3 linked regions of the Macaca mulatta genome follow. The protein of the gene in region 1 interacts with the protein of each later gene in a pairwise test. Links are inferred from orthologs where the notes say so. Each region holds a gene or a part of one and is shown in the gene's direction. Other genes may lie near its edges.

Region 1 (6,357 bases):
TCCCAAAGTGTTGGGATTACAGGTGTGAGCCATCGGGATAAGTCTTGCTGTTTTTTTTGTTTTGGTTTTTTGCTTTGTTTTGTTTTATTTTGGAGACAGAGTCACACTCCGTTTCCGAGGCTGTAGTGCAAAGGCCTGATCACGGCTCACTTCAGCCTCGACCTCTCACGGCTGAGGTGAGCCTCCCACCAAAGCCTCCCGAGTAGCTGGGAAAACAGGCATGCGCCACTATGCCTGGTTTATTTATTTATTTACTTACTTATTTATTTTTGTGGAGACAGGGTTTTGTCATGTTGCCCAAGCTGTTCTCAAACTCCTAGGCTCCAGCAATCCTCTCACCTCAGCCTCCCAAAGTGCTGGGATTCCAGACATGAGCCACCGAGCCCTGCCTCTCGGGTGCTCAAAATTCAGCGGTACTCGGGCTGGTGTTTCCCAGACTGGGGCTCCCGGGGAATGAGACTGTCGTCTGAGACTGGGGCTGTAGCTTGCTCTCTGGAGTTGGTTTCACTTGGGGCTGGGAACAGATTCGTTTTCCAGGGCTAGAATCCCCGTCTGACACCAATAATAATCTCTGTGAGGGGAAGGACCTCATTTGGGGTTGTGTACTCAGCTGACACCTGGGAACTTGAGTCCCTAACTAGGGAATAGAGAGCATGTGTAGCCTGGGCCCCCCAAGTAAAAATAGGGGTATCTTTGGGTTGGGTACTCATCTCTGGATAAAGCTCACATTTTTGGGGGACATAGGGGCTCTGTGGAGCTGAGGTCCCCGTCTGAGAATCAGCTTTTTTTTTTTTAATTTTGTTATTGTTATTATTATTTTATTTTATTTTTTGAGACTGAGTCTCGCTCTGTCGCCCAGGCTGGAGTGCAGTGGTGTCATCTCAGCTCACTGCAGCTTCCGCCTCCCGAGTTCAAGCAATTCTTCTGCCTCGGCCTGGTCTTGAATTCCTGACCTCGTGATCTGCCTGCCTCGGCCTCCCAAAGTGCTGGGATTACAGGCGTGAGCCAACGCGCCCGGCCTATTTTATTTATTTATTTATTTATTTTTAATTAATTAAATATTTTTTTTGAGACAGAATTTCACTCTTTCACCGAGGCTGGAGTGAAGTGGCGCAATCTCGGCTCGCTGCAACCTCTGCCCTCCGGATTCAAGCGATTCTCCTGCCTCAGCCTCCTGAGTAGCTGGGATTACAGGTGCGTGCCACCACGCCCGGCTAATTTTTGTATTTTCAGTAGAGACGGGATTTCACCATCTTAGCCAGGCTGGTCCTGAACTCTTGACCTCAGGTGATCCACCCGCCTCGGCCTCCCAAAGTGGTAGGATTACAGGCGTGAGCCACCGCGCCCGGCCAGAGAATCAGATTAGTTTATGAGCTGTAGTATTCAGATGAAGTTGGGGTTATTTCTAGGCTCTAATCTCCCTCTAAAGTTAAGAGTGTCATGGGCTGGGGTCTCCATCAAGGGCCTGGAACCCAGCTTGTGTTCCTGCTCCAGGACAGAGGTTCAAACATGAAATATGGTATACTGGAGTCTTCTCTTGAAATACAAGGCGGCTTTTAGGAATTAGGGTCCCTTCTACCAAACGGAGCGCAATTACAGGCATGGTGCCTGCTAGGCATGGGAGATCAGGGCGTCCAGGACAAAACTCTGGACTCGCCCACTCTAACCCACTGTCAGCCCGGGGACCTATAGCCAGCCAACTGAGTCAATTTGTCTATGATTGGTTTGCGGCAAGAGCCAAGTGGCTCACAGCCTATTGAATAATAGAGGAGGCGGACCTGAGGCGAGGTTGGGACCTAACGTGAATAATAGAGGGAAAATGATGGACATAAAGTTGAGCCTATGGAGGCCAAGGCGGACCGGGAATCTAACTTCACCGAAAGGGCATGGACTGGGTGTTTGGCTGGTTGCTAAGGAGAGGTTGGCGCTACCGGAGCATGAGAGTGATTGGTGGACGTAAGAAAAGATGTAGCCAATGAAAGGAGAGCTGCGAGACTTAGGGCCCAATCAGTGAAGGGGAGTAGCCTGGACCGTACCGATGTGTTCATTAGGTAGGGGGAGCCCTTGGAAAATTATAGACCAGAGGTTGACAAGGTGAACCCTGGAAGCAAAGAATAGTGAAAATGTAATTTATATTTCTCCTAAAATGGAAGTAATGAGGAAATTAACTTATGCTTCTAGCCTCGATAGGAATGTGATAGAGAATTTCCCCTGTAGGTGCTTCGTATGGTGCGCTCCGCTGGATCACGTGAGCCAGTTCCAAGATGGCGGCAGGGGTGGCCGGGTGGGGGGTTGAGGCAGAGGAGTTCGAAGATGCGCCTGATGTGGAGCCGCTGGAGCCTACGCTTAGCAATATCATCGAGCAGCGCAGCCTGAAGTGGATCTTCGTCGGGGGCAAGGGTGGAGTGGGCAAGACCACCTGCAGGTAAGGAGGCTGCGGCGGGGGCCAGGAGGCGTGTAGGATATACTACTGGGCGAAGGGGAGGCCAAGGACCGGCTTTTCCACCACGACCCGGGCAAGGGGGCTGGCGGGGGTCTTTGGGTTTCACTCTCTGGAAGTTACCTGGAGCACATGAGAAAGACCTCTTCAATGCAGCCCTAGCACCCTCTGAATTGGACCATCCATGTTGGGGCTCAAGTGCAGCGCCCGGGGGACGGGGAAGCACTTAGATGTCCCCATCAGCTGGACCGTACCTGAGTGAATCCAGAGTTGTGGGTAGGGGCGGCACCAGAACAAGCAATCCTAGTTTGGTAAACCTTGGTGTTTTATGTCCAAGGCGAGAGTGAGGGTGGAAAGCGAGGGAGAGGGCACATGATCAGACTGTCCCAGGCAGCTACAGGCAGGAGGTGTCCATGCGGCAGATTATCCTGGACAAGTGGACCGAACCATCCTGTGCTTACCAGGGAGTGCAAGGGATCCCTTAGCTTATTAAAGAAGGGAGCACGGAGTCAAGCTATGCTGGCTGGACAGCTGGGCCATGCCACTGTGTGCCCAGCAAAGAAGCAGCAGGCACTAGGCCAGACATACTCAGTCATTTGAACCTTATCTCTCTAGTCCACATAGAAGGGTCAGTAGATAAATCAGAGAGGGTTCCTTTGTAGGGATTGAGGCTCAATCCCACCGTAACCCATACTCTCCTCTCAAGGCCCCTGCTGATCCGGGTCACCTGCTCCAGGGAAACTACCACTACCCTTGCAGACCCAGGGAACAGAGCCCAACCCCTCATCCCCTGTCTTTTTACTTTTCCTTTACCCAGCTGCAGTCTGGCAGTCCAGCTCTCCAAGGGGCGTGAGAGTGTGCTGATCATCTCCACAGACCCAGCTCACAACATCTCAGATGCTTTTGACCAGAAGTTCTCAAAGGTGCCTACTAAGGTCAAAGGCTATGACAACCTCTTTGCTATGGTGAGTGGAGCAGGGCTTAGCCCCCACTTCTGGGAAAGGCCTCTTCCAGCCTTTCCTGTGTGCACACACCAGCAGCCACCATGTCCTATCCACTCTTTATCCTGTGTCTCTCCTGTTTCACCCCTTCCTCAACATACTCACAAGAGAACCAATGAGGAATTGCAGAGCGGGAAGCACACCAGAGTGCCTAAAGCTTATTGAGCCAGGGTAGGGGAAGAAGAAGTTGGAGAGACCAATCAGAGCCACAAAGTGTGGTACCTTATGGGCCACGGTAAGAAGTTTGGCATTGACTCCAGGTTCAATGGAAAGCTGTTTGTTTTAAGCAGGGCAGTGTCGTGGCCAAATTCATGTTTGAAAAGTACCCTCTGATGGCCAGGTGGAGATTTAATTGTCAGTCAGTGTAGAAGCATGGAAACTAACAAGGAGATTGGGGATGTAACCAGTTGAGAGATGACAACATCCTGGACTCTGGTGGAGGCAGAATGCTGGGGGAGACATAGTCAGATTTGAGATTTTTTTCTTTTTTTTTAAACACTCAGGAATCCTGTGTCTCCCAGGCTGGAGTGCAGTGACCCGATCTAGGCTCACTGCAACCTCCACTTCCCAGGTTCAAGCAATTCTCATGCCTCAACCTATTGAGTAGCTGGCATTACAGGCATGCCCCACCACTGCCTGTTAATTTTGTATTTTTAGTAGAGACAGATTTTCACCATGTTGGCCAGGCTGGGCTTGAAGTCCTGACCTCAAATGATCTGACCGCCTCGGCCTCCCACAGTGCTGAGATTACAGGCATGAGCCACCACATCGCACTAGGGATGTATTTTGGAAGTAAGCCAGTGAGATTACTTGGTTGTAATGGGTGAGAGAAAGAAATGAATTGATTACATGTCTTTCTTGTCTCTCTAAGCAGCTAGGATGGGGAAAACTAGGAAAGGAGTAGGTGTAGAATGGACAAATCAAGAATTTCATTTTCTCCGCAGTGAATCTGAGGTGCCCACTGGAAATCCAAGTGGAAACATCATGACAATAGCTTGTTTATGTGAGTCTGGAGCCCAGAGGAGGTTGGCATTCATTTGGAAGTCACTGTCCCAAGGTTGGCATTTAAAGCTGTGTGAGGGCTGGGCATCGTGGCTCACGCCTGTAATCCTAGCACTTTGAGAAGCCAAGGTGGGCGGATCACTTGAGGTTAGGAGTTCGAGACCAGCCTGGCCAATATGGTGAAACCCTGTCTCTACTAAAAATATAAAACAGGGCCGGGCGCGGTGGCTCAAGCCTGTAATCCCAGCACTTTGGGAGGCCGAGACGGGTGGATCACGAGGTCAGGAGATCGAGACCATCCTGGCGAACACCGTGAAACCCCGTCTCTACTAAAAAATACAAAAAACTAGCCGGGCGAGGTGGTGGGCGCCTGTAGTCCCAGCTACTCGGGAGGCTGAGGCAGGAGAATGGCGTAAACCTGGGAGGCGGAGCTTGCAGTGAGCTGAGATCCGGCCACTGCACTCCAGCCCGGGCTACAGGGCGAGACTCTGTCTCAAAAAAATAAAAAAATAAAACAGTTAGCTGGGCACGATGGCAGGTGCCTGTAATACCAACTACTCATGAGGCTAAGGCAGGAAAATCACTTGAACCCAGGAGACAGAGATTCTCCTGCGTCAGCCTCCAGAGTAACTGGGATTATAGGTGCCTACCACCATGCCCGGCTAATTTTTGTATTTCTGTATTTTTAGTAGAGACGAGGTTTTACCACGTCTCAAAAAAAAAAAAAAATGCTGGGCACGGTGGCTCACTCCTGTCATCCCAGCACTTTGGGAGTCCCAGGCGGGTGGATCACAAGGTCAGGATATCCAGACCATCCTGGCTAACACGGTGAAACCCCATCTTTACTAAAAATACAAAAAAAAATTGCCTGGGCATGGTGGCAGGCATCTATAGTCCCAGCTGCTCCGGAGGCTGAGTCAGGAGAATGACATGAACCTGGGAGGCGGAGCTTGCAGAGAGCCGAAATCGCGCCACTGTACTCCAGCCTGGGTGACAGAGGGAGAATCTGTCTCAAAAAACAAAATAAAGGCCGGACGCGGTGGCTCATGCCTGTAATCCCAGCACTTTGGGAGGCCGAGACAGGTGAATCACGAGGTCAGGAGATTGAGACCATCTTGGCTAACGCAGTGAAACCCCATCTCTAGTGAAAATACAAAAAAATAGCCGGGTGCGGTGGCGGGCACCTGTAGTCCCAGCTATTCAGGAGGCTGAGGCAGGAGAATGGCGTGAACCTGGGAGGCAGAGCTTGCAGTGAGCCGAGATCGCACCACTGCACTCCAGCCTGGGCAGCAGAGCAAGACTCAGTCTCACAAAAAAAGAAAAAAAAGTACAAAAATTAGCCAGGTGTTAGCCGGGCACAGTGGCAGGCGCCTGTAATCCCAGCTACTTGGGAGGCTGAGGCAGAAGAATCGCTTGAACTCGGAGGGGCAGAGGTTGCAATGAGCCGAGATCGTGCCACTGCATTCCAGCCTGGGCGACAGTGAGATTCCATCTCAAAAATAAATAAATAAATAAACTAGCCAGGCATGGTGGCAGGCACCTGTAGTCCCAGCTACTCGGGAGGCTGAGGCAGGAGAATGGCGTGAACCCGGGACATAGAGCTTGCAGTGAGCTGAGATGGCACCACTGCATTACAGCCTGAACGACAGAGCAAGACTCCATTTCAAAAAAAATAAAGAAATAAAAAATAAAATAAAGAGATGCTGCAGAGTGAGGATGCTGGCAGAGGACAGTCCTCAGGTGGGATGAGCTCCATCCAGTATACAGACCCAGGACTTGGGTGCTGCCAGGGTCAAGGACTGGGAGGGAAACAGGAGGAATTGGGGCACTTCCTCAGCAGAGATGAGGGTGTTGGCAGCCAATGGCTTCTCTTTCTCACCAAGGAACGGGCAAGGGCCTCAGCAGTGAATGGGA
Region 2 (5,815 bases), on another chromosome or scaffold:
TGGGTCCCACTGCCAGGTTGGGGAGTCAGGAGCTGCCCCCACACCCTGCCTGGGAGCTGTCGCCCGTCTTTTGGATGAGTCAGGAACACCTACGTCAACACTGGGTGGCCGCCCTTGCCACACCTGCGCATAGGCCCTGTGGGGAGAGCCAGGCAGTGGGTGGCGTGGGACAGGTGATGCCCAGTGCCCAGGAGACCTGCATGGCAGTTCCTAAGACAGGCACAAGCGATCATGAGGGACGTACGTGTCTATCTCCCCACCCACCATGGGGTTAGGTCGAGGCAGTCCAGGGAGCGCGTGGGAGGGCTGTGCTCGTTGCATCTGCAGAGATTCTCTGAAGAGGGACCCTGGCTGCCTCCCACTGGGGTAGGCGCGGGCCCAGGTCCCCGACAGCATGACAGTGCTGTGAGACTTCGATGGACCTCACCCGGGGAGCCCAGGCCTGCTCCATGCCAAGGTGGCCACGCACGGCCTCTGCTGTCCTAAGCACAGGCCCCATACAGGACCTGAGGCTGGGGCTCCACGATACTTGGGCTATGTGCTTCCCTGGTGCTTCTCTCCTGGGGATGAAATCACACCCATAGGTAAAGGTTTGGGAATGTAGGGAGACAACAGGAGACAAAGCAAGGTGACAAGGACTCTGGCAGCCACAGAGGCAGCAGGAGGGCCCTGGAGGCTCCTGTTGGGCAACGCAGTTGGGAAAGGGCCCACTAGGTGGGAGAGGCAGGCGCCTGGTGAGTGCTGAGATCTGCACCACGGGAAGGGCTGTGCTCCCAAGGCATGCACGGGGCCTGGGAGCGGAGTGAGTGTGAGCGGGTGTTAGGACGGGGCCTGGGAGCGGAGTGAGTGTGAGCGGGTGTTAGGACGGGGCCTGGGAGCGGAGTGAGTGTGAGCGGGTGTTAGGACGGGGCCTGGGAGCGGAGTGAGTGTGAGCGGGTGTTAGGACGGGGCCTGGGAGCGGAGTGAGTGTGAGCGGGTGTTAGGACGGGGCCTGGGAGCGGAGTGAGTGTGAGCGGGTGTTAGGACGGGGCCTGGGAGCGGAGTGAGTGTGAGCGGGTGTTAGGACGGGGCCTGGGAGCGGAGTGTGCCTTTGAGATATCAAGGGTTGATCGTTGGGTCAGTGTGGTGAGTACATCAGGCTGGTTTTGACTGTTGATTACATGCTAGATGCACTGGCCTAGGCCCTGATTACATTGCTCCCTATAAGTTGCTTCTGGTAGGTGGGGAGGGTCCCATGTTAACACTCTGTAACTGATCATTACAACGCACGTTAATGTGATTGGATTAAGCAGCTCTGAGAGCTTGGAGGATGAAGGTGTTGCATGGCTGAGTGACTGTTCCCTGGTGATCTGTTTATTTGGTGCTGTGTGTGAGGTTTGGGCCGGCTCTGAGTCCCTATCGGGTACCTCTGCCTGTGGGCTCTGGCTGGGCTCTTCTCCAGGGCAGGCAGGTGGACTACAATTAACATAGAGTATCTTTCCACTTTTCCTGTTCTATATTATATTCATGAAATGCATTCAAATTTTTCTGTGTTTCCTTTGCAGAACAAAACTATTGTGAGTCGCGGTATCATTTTCTGCACTCGGCGGATGGGGAGGGCTGTGCCAACATGCTGGTGGAATACTCTACGTCCCGTGGCTTCCGCAGCGAGGTGGACATGTTCGTGGCCCAGGCCGTGCTACAGTAGGTGTTTGTGGCTCTTTGGGTCTTGGCTTCCATCGCTGCCTTGGCCGGGCGGCCTTAGAGCAGGTCCCCTTGTCCCCTGCCCGAGCCATGCTGCAGGATAAACTGAGTTCACTCTGGGCAGAATCCACAGCGCACTTGTCAGCCAGAGTCACCCGTGATTATTCATAAGTTTAACCAGTTTCAAGAAGTATCTTAGAAACTCCCCCTTTCCCGACGGGCACTGGAGCGCCCTCCACACTGCGCCTCTTGCCCGCTGCCGGGAGGCCCCGCGGCCTCTGCTCTCCTCAGGCCTGCCTCAGCCTCTGCCTTCCCGCAGTATCTGGAAAAGCGGAAATGCACACCCAGGTCATAGAATGGTGAGCATCTACCCCGCGGCCCCTCCCGCCAGCTCTCTGGGGCATCCTGCAGGCCGAGCTCCAGGCGCTCCTGCTCCAGGCGCTGGCCTCCGCTTCCTTTCTCATGAAAGCGTTATTTGTGTCCATCAGTTTCTTCCCACAGAACAATGTGGATTTCAAGGCGGGCGTTGGGGAGTTAACGTGGGATCTGGGGACAGACACCCTCTGACCTCGGTGGTGCGCACTGCAGAGCTCTGCCAGGAGCTGGCGTCCGTGACTTAGATGAAAAGCTGGGTCAAACCTGGAGCTCCCTGGCTCTGCACCGCACTGCGTACACGTTTTCTCTGGGCTGACAGTGGCTCTGCCCCTGGGACACTGAGCTCTCCCCGTGGGCCCTCCTCGAACAGGAGCCAGGGTCTGTGTGGCACCCGCCAGCTGCTGTGCCGTGACTGAGTGTTCTGGTGCGGGCAGCCTGAGGAGAGGAGAGCTTGCTCAGTGCATCGCATAGTTGAGTCTCAGGCTGGGGCCCAGCTCCAGAGCCTGGTGACCTTCCCAAGCTTCGTTCTCTTCACCTGTGAATTTCAGGCTTCCCCAGTATGCCCTGCACGTGAGGGGAGACACGTGTGAAGCACTGGGTTCCTCCGTGCCGGGGGCCGCGGGACCCATGGGCGCACGAGCTTGGGAAGGATGTGTCAGAGGCTGGCGCCTGTGCGGCCAGAAGCCATGTTCTCCAGCCCTTCCACCACCAGCATGTTCTCATTTCCAGGTTTCTCTGTTTAAAAAACAAAAGTAGCGCGTCGGTGGTCTTCACGACATACACCCAGAAGCACCCGTCCATCGAGGACGGGCCTCCATTTGTGGAGCCGCTGCTCAACTTCATCTGGTTCCTGCTGCTGGCTGTGGACGGGTGCGTCTTGGTGTCTTGGGGGTGGGGTGTGAATATGTGTGTTGTGTGTCGACGTGGCATGGGTAGCTGTGTGGGTGTGCGTGCAAGTGTAGCCATGGTGGGGGTAGCTGTGTGGGTATATGTATAGGGTATGAGTGTTGGGTGTAGACGTGGTATGGGTGTGTGTGCAGGGCTGTTGGGTGTAGACATGGTAGTGTGGGTAGCTGTGTGGGTGTATGTGCTGTAGTGTGGGTGTGTGCAGGTGAGTGTTGGGTGTAGACTTGTGGGTACAGGGGTGGGTGAGTGTAGACGTGATGGTGTGGGGGGTTGTGTGCAGGTGAGTTGGGTGTCGATATGGTGTGGGTAGCTGTGGGGGGTGTGTGTGCAGGTGCTGGGTGTCCATGTGGTGGTGTGGGTGTGTGTAGATGTGTGCAGGTGTGTTGTAGGTGTAGAGGGGGGAGTGTGTGTAGGTATGGGGTGTCTGGTGTGGGTAGTTGTGTTGGGGTACGTGCAAGTATGTGTGTTGGGTGTAGACATGGTGAGGGTGGGTGTGTGGTGTGTAGGTGTGTTGTCTGTAGACGTGTGGGTAGCTGCGTGGGGGCGTGCAGGTGTATTGGGTATAGACGTGGCAATATGGGTTGCTGTACGTGTGCAGGTATTGAGTGTAGACATGGCATGGGTAGCCATCTGGGTGTTTGTAGGTGTTAGGTGTGGGTGTGGCGGTATGCACAGGTGAGTGCTGGGTGTAGGCACGGTGTGTGCAGATGTGTTGGGTGTGTAGGCGTGTGTGCAGGTGAGTGCTGGGTGTAGGCACGGTGTGTGCAGATGTGTTGGGTGTGTAGGCGTGTGTGCAGGTGAGTGCTGGGTGTAGGCACAGTGTGTGCAGATGTGTTGGATGTGTAGGCGTGTGTGCAGGTGAGTGCTGGGTGTAGGCACAGTGGTGTGTGCAGGTGTGTGTTCGGTGCAGGCGCGGTGGTGTGTGCAGGTGAGTGGTGAGTGCAGGTATGTGTTCAGTGCAGGTGAGTGGTGAGTGCAAGTATGTGTTCAGTGCAGGTGAGTGGTGAGTGCAGGTATGTGTTCAGTGCAGGCGCGGTGGTGTGTGCAGGTGAGTGTTGGGAGTAGGTGCGGTGGTTTGTGCAGGTGAGTGGTGTTTACAGGTGTTTGGTGCAGGCATGGTGGTGTGTGCAGTTGTGTACGCAGGTGAGTTGGGTGTAGGCACGGTGGTGTGTGCAGGTGTGCAGTGTAGGCGTGGTGGTGTGCAGGTGAGTGGTGGGCGTAGGTGCGGTGGGGTGTGCAGGTGAGTGGTGGGCGTAGGTGCGGTGGGGTGTGTAGGTAAGTGTGCACAAATGAGTGTTGGGTGCAGGTGCATGTTTGGTGTAGGCGTGGTATGTGCAGGTTGTGTGTAGCCACGGTGGTGTGTGCAGGTGAGTGTTGAGTGTAGGTGTGTGTGCAGGTGAGTGGTGTGCGCAGGTGAGTGGTGTAGGTGTGACGTGTGCAGGTGAGTGATGCGCAGGTGAGTTGTGTGTAGGCACGGTGGTGTGTGCAGGTGTGTTGGGCCTAGGTGCGGTGGTGTGCACAGGTCAGTGCTGGGTGTAGGCGTGGTGGTGTATGTTTTAATGGTGTGTGCAGGTGAGTGGGGTATAGGCACGGTGTGTGTGGGTAAACTGGGCGTAAGTGCAGTGGTGTGTGCGGGTGTGCAGTGGAGGCACGGTGTGCAAGTGTGTGTTGGGTATAGGTACGGGGGTGTTAAGGTGAGTGGTGTGGGCAGGTGTGTGTAGGCGCAGTGGTGTGGGCAGGTGAGTGGTGTGTGCGGGTGAGTGCTGGGTGTAGGCTCGGTAGTGTGCGCAGGTGAGTGGCATAGGCGCAGTGTATGCAGGTGAGTGGTGTGTGCAAGTGAGTGTTGGGTGTAGGTGTGTATGCAGGTGTATGTTGGGTGTAGGTGCAGTGGTGTATATAGGCGTGGTGGTGTGTGCAGGTGACGTGTGTAGGCGCGGTGGTGTGTGCAGGTGTGTTGGGCATAGGTGCAGTGGTGTGTGCAGATGGGTGTAGGTGTGTGCAGGTGAGTGGTGTGCACAGGTGAGTGGTGTAGGTGTGACGTGTGCAGGTGTTGGGTTTAGGCACAGTAGTGTGTGCGGGTGTTGGGCCTAGGTGCGGTGGTGTGTACAGGTAAGTGTTGGGTGTAGGCTCAGTGTGTACAGGTGAGTGTTGGCTGTAGGCGTGGTGTGTGCGGGTGTGTGTTGGGTGTAGGTACAGTGGTGTGCAGGTGGGTGTAGGCGCGGTGGTGTGTGTGGGTGAGTGTTGGGTCTAGGTGTGGTGTGTGCAGGTGAGTGATGTAGGTGAGTGGTGTGTGCTGGTGAGTGCCAGGTGTAGGCGCGGTGGTGTGTGCAGGTGAGTGTGGTCCTGTTCTCACCTAGCACATCCCTGTGTCTCTGTGTCCCAGTGGGAAGCTAACGGTGTTCACTGTGCTATGTGAGCAGTACCAGCCATCCCTCCGGCGTGACCCGATGTACAACGAGGTGAGAGCTCAGGGCTGGGGAGGGAGGAGGGGACCCCAGGGCCTGGGTCTGCCGGCTCCTGAGCCTGCTGCCTCTGCCTTGCAGTACCTCGACCGCATAGGACAGCTGTTTTTTGGCGTCCCGCCCAAGCAGACGTCTTCCTACGGAGGCCTGCTCGGTAAGCTGGGGCGCCCTTGCCACGCCCACTGCAGCCCTGGGTCGGTGTGGGGTCATCATCTGCCCAGGCAGGGCCAGTGCGGTCCTTCATGTAGAAGTGATTTTCTGCTCTTTCAAATGTTTCTCAACTTTTTTTTGTTAGTAGGAAATTATATTTTAGAGTAGAGAATTCTAGCACGGTGCCTCCCAGCCCCGTCTCCACTCCAGAGCTCCCCATCCCCGAGGTTTCTCCCACT
Region 3 (5,815 bases), on another chromosome or scaffold:
CTATTATAAAGAAATAAAATTTATCAACATATGCATGGAAGCACTTAGAGACCATACATAGCACCATTCACAGTCAAGAGAAATGTAAACAAACATAAAGATGCAGTGTTAAATCATAATTCCATTAAATTAACTGTAGTACAGATTATACTACTGTAACAATTTCATAGCTGCCTCCTGTTGCTATTCAGCAAGCTCAAGTGTTTTGAGTATCTGCTTAAAATAACATGTGATACTGTTGTCTCCATCTGAGCAGTTCCTATCTCCAGTAAATTGCGTATCATGGTAAAAAGTGGTCTCTTATGGTTCTTGTGTATTTTTCCTTGTGTTTAATGTAATGCTGCAAACCTCGAATAACACCATGAGACCTATACAAACAGCAACTAGTGATGCTGGAAATGCTGCCAAGAAGCAGAGAAAAGTCATGACCCTACAAGAAAAAGTTGAATTACTTGATATGTACTGTAGATTAAGGTCTGTACCTGTAGTTGCAGGCCATTTCAGACATTCAATTCATCTTGTAAACAGATGATGTAAACTTATGGTATCGATAAAATACAGTACAGTACTGTAAAAGTATTTTCTCTTCCTTATTATTTTCTTAATACCATTTTCTTTTTTTCAGCTTACTTTATTGTAAGACTAGAGTATATAAGACATATAACATACAAAATATGTTAATCAGCTATTTATGATATAGGGTAAGGCTTCCAGTCAACAGTAGGCTATTAGTTGTTAAGTTTTTAGGGAGTCAAAAGTTATACACAGATTTTCGGCTGCATGGAGGATCGAAGCCCCTAACCCCTGTGTTGCTCAAGGTCAACTGCCTTTAACCTGCGACTTGTCCGTTAGACGTTCTTAGTCAAATAGTCCAACACCGAGTGGAGAATTTGGCTCCCTGCTCTGCCAGTCACTACCTATTGGAGCAAGACATGTCTTCTTTATTGATTAATTTTTATTATTTTCCAATAAGCCTTTTGCATTCCTACTTTATCTTCTCATGTTTACTCAATCTTCTCATGCCTGCAGTGAAGATGACATATAGCTCTCACTTCATCTAAATGGGATACGTTTAAGCTTTACTGTGATTTGTTTCCAACAGTTATGTTATTTATTCTAGGAAGAAGAAATGAAAATGCCTGCAAAGGAGCTCCTAAAACCTGTACCTTACTAGAAAAGTTCCCCGAGACAACAGGATGCAGAAGAGGACAGGTACCAAGAGTGTCGTGCTGGGGAGAACACAATTAATTGTTAGGAATAAGGGCATGTTGACCTTTACAAAGAAATGGTTGTTTCCTTTGGCCCAGTGAATGCCTCTTTTTACGTGCCCTTTTTACTGAAACATAATTTTATGTGGTTGACGTCAGAATTGAGGGTGGAAAATGTTCAGTGTTTATCGCTTTGTGGAAAATGTGAGTGCTTATTTTTAGTTCCTTCACAAATAAGACTTGAATATAAATATTAAATCTTACAAAGGCGCTAATCCAAACTGACAGTAATTTTTTACTGTCACCTTAACTTAGCAGTTCCTCCACACCTTGATAAATGGCTGAATGGAGTGTCATGTGTTCTATGCAGATCAAATATTCCATCATGCACCCTGGGACTCACGTGTGGCCGCACACAGGGCCCACAAACTGCAGGCTCCGAATGCACCTGGGCTTGGTGATTCCCAAGGAAGGCTGCAAGATTCGATGTGCCAATGAGACCAAGTATGTGTCCTCTGTTATCCATCATATCCATCACCTCTGAGGATGAGAGTTTGTTACAACAGAGCTGTGTTCCCTTGGATTACTTGTCTTCTTTTGTAGCTGAAGCAGACTGGAGCAAAGTGATATTAATCCAAACTCTTGAGTCTATACCCCTTCTTGGTGCTTTCTGTTAGCCTGGAGACATTGCCCAGCTCTAGGGCTGCCCTCTTCCATTATTTCTCAGCAGAGTACTTATCTAGTTGAGGAGCTGCCTTGTTTCTCTCTGTGGGTAGACAGATGTGCATTCAGAGTCAGCCAGCATGCATTGAGCCCTGCAGATGTTATGCATTGTGTTTCCTGCATTGCATCCTGACTTATTCATGAATACAAGAAGTCCCCCTAACTGAAGAACTCACCCCATGATATTTATACATTTTGATCTAGAGGAGATGGTATGGTACAATGGAAGCTGGCTGCCTTTTTCAAATCCCAGCTCTGCCACCTAACCTGTGTAACCTTGGCTAGTTACTTAATCCCTTCAAACATCAGCCTTCTTGCTTATAAAATTGGCAGTGATAACATCTACTTTGCAGGGTTGTTGTATGGATTAACTGGAATAATGTCTACAAGGTGCTCAGTCCATGTTCTGGTATCAGTAGGGACGTGATGAATGTTAGATCTCCTCTCCCTCCCTTGCCTCTTGCTTTCCTAATCATGACAGGTTTATTCATGATCTTTTGAACAAACCATACTTGCTCTGGCTTCTGTACCTGTGGTGCTGATAATCTCCGTCCCTAGAATGCCCATCTTTTCACCTATCCAAAATTAGTTTTATAAAAATACAACCTCTCAGAGTATATATCCTCAGTAATCCCATTCCCTATCTTCTAATGCTCTTTATTCATTAATATAACATTACCCTTATCTCTATAGCAAGCTGTATGTAAGCTCCTGGAGATCAGAAACCACGTTATTGTCATCTTACACACATTTCTTATTGTCCTTAATAGAGGTCTGAGTGGAGGATGAGTGCTCAGGGGTCTGCAGAATTGTTTATTTGGTTATTGGCAGATAAGTGCCCTGGGCAGCCCATGGTGCTATGGGAAATTCAGAGATGACTGAGAAGGGGCCGTCCTCTGCTGGGTGTGTTGCTCAGGAAGATAACGCAAGATTGAAGGCCATAGGGGTCGTAAAAGTGGTACTACAATGGCCTCTCTACAGAAAAGCTAAAAATACTACAGATGGCTCCATGAGCAGGAGCCTCACCTGCTTGCAGGGACTCAACTTGCAGAGTGGCAGTTTTTGAAGACAAGAAGGATTCGAACATTGAAAGCTAAAGAGGGATATTCCGAAACAGTATCCATTAAAGGCACAGAGGCCAAAAAGTATGGCCACATATGAAGAATATTGAATAATACATCAGCAGCCAGCAGTGTATGCTACATAAAGAATAAGGTTGCAAAGTGAAAGAGTCTTTTTTAGAAACTAAATCATAGGAGGCTTTGAATCCCAAACTAATGGGATCAGACCTTTATTAGGAAGTTACTGTGGAACCCATGGGTGAATCCTGTGGGGACAGTGGGAAGAACAATTAGCAGGCTATCACAGTGGCCCACCCAAAAGATAAGCAGAGCTGGAATTGGGATGCTGGAAAGAAATGGAGACTAGAGAGCAGATGCAAGAGATATCAGGTGACTCTTGAATGTGTGGTACAGGAATGAGGCATCCAAGATGCTGCTGCAATTGCAGTCTTTGGACAGTGTAGGGTGGCGATGCTTGAGCAAATCTTGGGAATTTGGGAGACATGAGGCAAGTTCAAGGAAAGGAAGAGGAATTCAGTGCTTGTGCATATTTTATTTAGTTACTATTGGAACACACTTGTAGAACCATCCAGGAGGTGGCTGGAAATAGAGACCTGGCACTCAGGGGAGAATGTAAGTCTAGAGATAAAGATTTGAGAGTCACGCTTAGCAAGAACTTCTAGAGGACGCTTGAGACAATCAAACGATGACAGAAATGAAAAGGTTCCATGAAAACATCTATATTTAAAAGACAGAAGGAGGAAGGAGAACCAAGAAGGAAATGGGGCAAGAAAGGCAGAATCAGGTAGACCAGGAGGAGGAATCAGGGATCACTGGACAGGTAGAAGTTTTTTCAGGCATGAAATGAATCTTGTCTTACGTTGGGAACCTGGTTTGGGTCTTCACGGTCTCTCTGCCAAAGTGAAAAAGAGCAGGGACACATTGGGGGATGCCAGGAATTTAGAGAAGAGGTGGGAGAATGCTGGAGCAGGCACAGATTGACAAGGTAACTCCTTGGAGATCACATGAGAGCATGAGGCAGTGGAGATGGAGAAGAGCACCCAGCCACACGCCTCAGTGCTCCTTAGGCTTTTAGGGTTTATTTCTTCTTTCACCAGCTCACTCGCTCTCTCCCTCACCTCCTACCTCCTATGTTTTCTCTCTCCCTCCCTCCTTTTCTTCCTCCTCCCTCCCTTCTTTCCTTTCTGCCTGCCTGCCTCCCTCCTTCTCTCCCTCCCTGCCTCCCTGCCTCCCCATGTTCCTGCATTCTTGCCTTCCTCATTCTCTTCTGTATTCTGCTTGTAGATACTTGGAACAAAATCACTAGAGAAAAATCCACTTAGGGCCAGGCAAGGTGGTTCATGCCTATAATCCCAGAACTTTGGGAAGCCAAAGCAGGAGGATTGCTTGAGGCCAGGAGTTCAAGACCAGCCTGAGCAACACAGTAAGACCCCATTTCCACAGAAACAATTTTTTTTTTTTTTTTTTGAGACGGAGTCTCGCTCTGTCGCCCAAGCTGGAGTACAATGGGGTGATCTCGGCTCACTGCAAGCTCTGCCTCCCAGGTTCACCCTATTCTCCTGCCTCAGCCTCCCGAGTAGCTGGGACTACAGGTGCCCACCACCATGCCCGGCTAATTTGTTTGTATTTTTAGTAGAGACGGGGTTTCACCGTGTTAGCCAGGATGGTCTTGATCTCCTGACCTCGGGATCTGCCTGCCTGGGCCTCCCAAAGTTCTGGGATTACAGGCATGAGCCACCACGCCCAGTCACAAAAACAACTTTTAAAAAAAATATGCTAGCATGATGACATGCACCTGTACTCCCAGCTACTCAGGAAGCAGAGGCAGGTTAATTGCTTGAGCCCAGGAGTTCAAGGGTGCAGCGAGCTGTAATTACACCATAGCACTCCAGCCTGGGTGAAAGAGCAAGTCCCTGTCTTAAAAAAATAATAATAATGATAAATCTACTTAGGCATAGGCAGGGAGAGGAAGAGAGATGGAACTGAGCTTAGTCTTCAGTGGCCTGAGGCAGAAAGAGAAATCCAAGATTGGAAGAATGGATGTGGCAATCAAGAACAGGAGCAGGTGGATGGTGCCAGGAGGCTTAGCACAAAGTCACAGAGGGCTCAAGACGCATGTTGGGCATGGTGGCATGGGCCTATAGTCACAGCCACTACAGTGGCTGAGGCAGGAGGATCACTAGAGCCCAGGAGTTTGAGGCTGCAGTGAGCCATGATTGCACCACTGCACTCCAACAAACATAGTGAGACCCCATCTCTTTAAAAAAAAATAAAAAACAAATGCAGGAGTGATGCTGAGAGACCTGCCCAGGAGCACATTTGTAGGTGCATTCCCCACTCCCGGCTCCCAGGAAACACCTTGTGTCCATGTTTGATAAAGAAAACAACTGCCAACCCCTCCCCTGAAGCTTAAAACATAATTAGGTTTAACCATCTTCACCTAGCAGAGGCAGAAGAGGGTTAGAAGGACCACTGCAGCCCACTCAGAGGGGGGCCTTGAATGAGATCTTTAACTTGGCAGCCCCTCAGTTTCTGCTGAGGTAAAATACAACCTACTTTGTGTGACAGGAAGGAGCTGCTGATAATAATAATTTGCAGATGGTGTATTTTGCAAATCCACAGTGATTATTTAAAAGTGCTTGCAACTCACCTGCCTATTATTGGGCCAGGGAGACTACAATGCTTCCGTCCTTTCCTCCCTGAAGAGTTGCTGAGCACAGGTGCCCTTCTGCCTCATTGTGACTGCCGGTCAGCAGCCCTTCTCCACTTTCTTTCTATTGTGCCAGCTTTATGTTGTGTTGC

Evidence for each region. The genes of interacting proteins can lie anywhere in the genome.
Region 2: the proteins of GET3 (region 1) and GET4 interact in binary tests that used the Homo sapiens proteins (3 or more experiments, as listed by UniProt). The link is inferred for Macaca mulatta from reciprocal best matches to the Homo sapiens genes GET3 and GET4.
Region 3: the proteins of GET3 (region 1) and ASPH interact in binary tests that used the Homo sapiens proteins (3 or more experiments, as listed by UniProt). The two-hybrid records come from large-scale screens. The link is inferred for Macaca mulatta from reciprocal best matches to the Homo sapiens genes GET3 and ASPH.

What each region holds. Positions count from the first base shown.
Region 1 is NC_133424.1:13,292,204-13,298,560, forward strand, and holds the start of GET3 (ATPase GET3), read left to right. Parts: upstream 1-2,255; 5' UTR 2,256-2,264; coding exon 2,265-2,425; intron 2,426-3,257; coding exon 3,258-3,405; intron 3,406-6,357.
Region 2 is NC_133408.1:34,831,296-34,837,110, forward strand, and holds part of GET4 (Golgi to ER traffic protein 4 homolog), read left to right. Parts: intron 1-1,544; coding exon 1,545-1,683; intron 1,684-2,787; coding exon 2,788-2,928; intron 2,929-2,934; exon of another isoform or gene 2,935-3,926; intron 3,927-3,960; exon of another isoform or gene 3,961-5,087; intron 5,088-5,347; coding exon 5,348-5,423; intron 5,424-5,507; coding exon 5,508-5,580; intron 5,581-5,815. UniProt on the Homo sapiens protein: As part of a cytosolic protein quality control complex, the BAG6/BAT3 complex, maintains misfolded and hydrophobic patches-containing proteins in a soluble state and participates in their proper delivery to the endoplasmic reticulum or alternatively can promote their sorting to the proteasome where they undergo degradation.
Region 3 is NC_133413.1:72,126,237-72,132,051, reverse strand, and holds part of ASPH (aspartyl/asparaginyl beta-hydroxylase), read left to right. Parts: intron 1-1,120; coding exon 1,121-1,212; intron 1,213-1,578; coding exon 1,579-1,712; intron 1,713-5,815.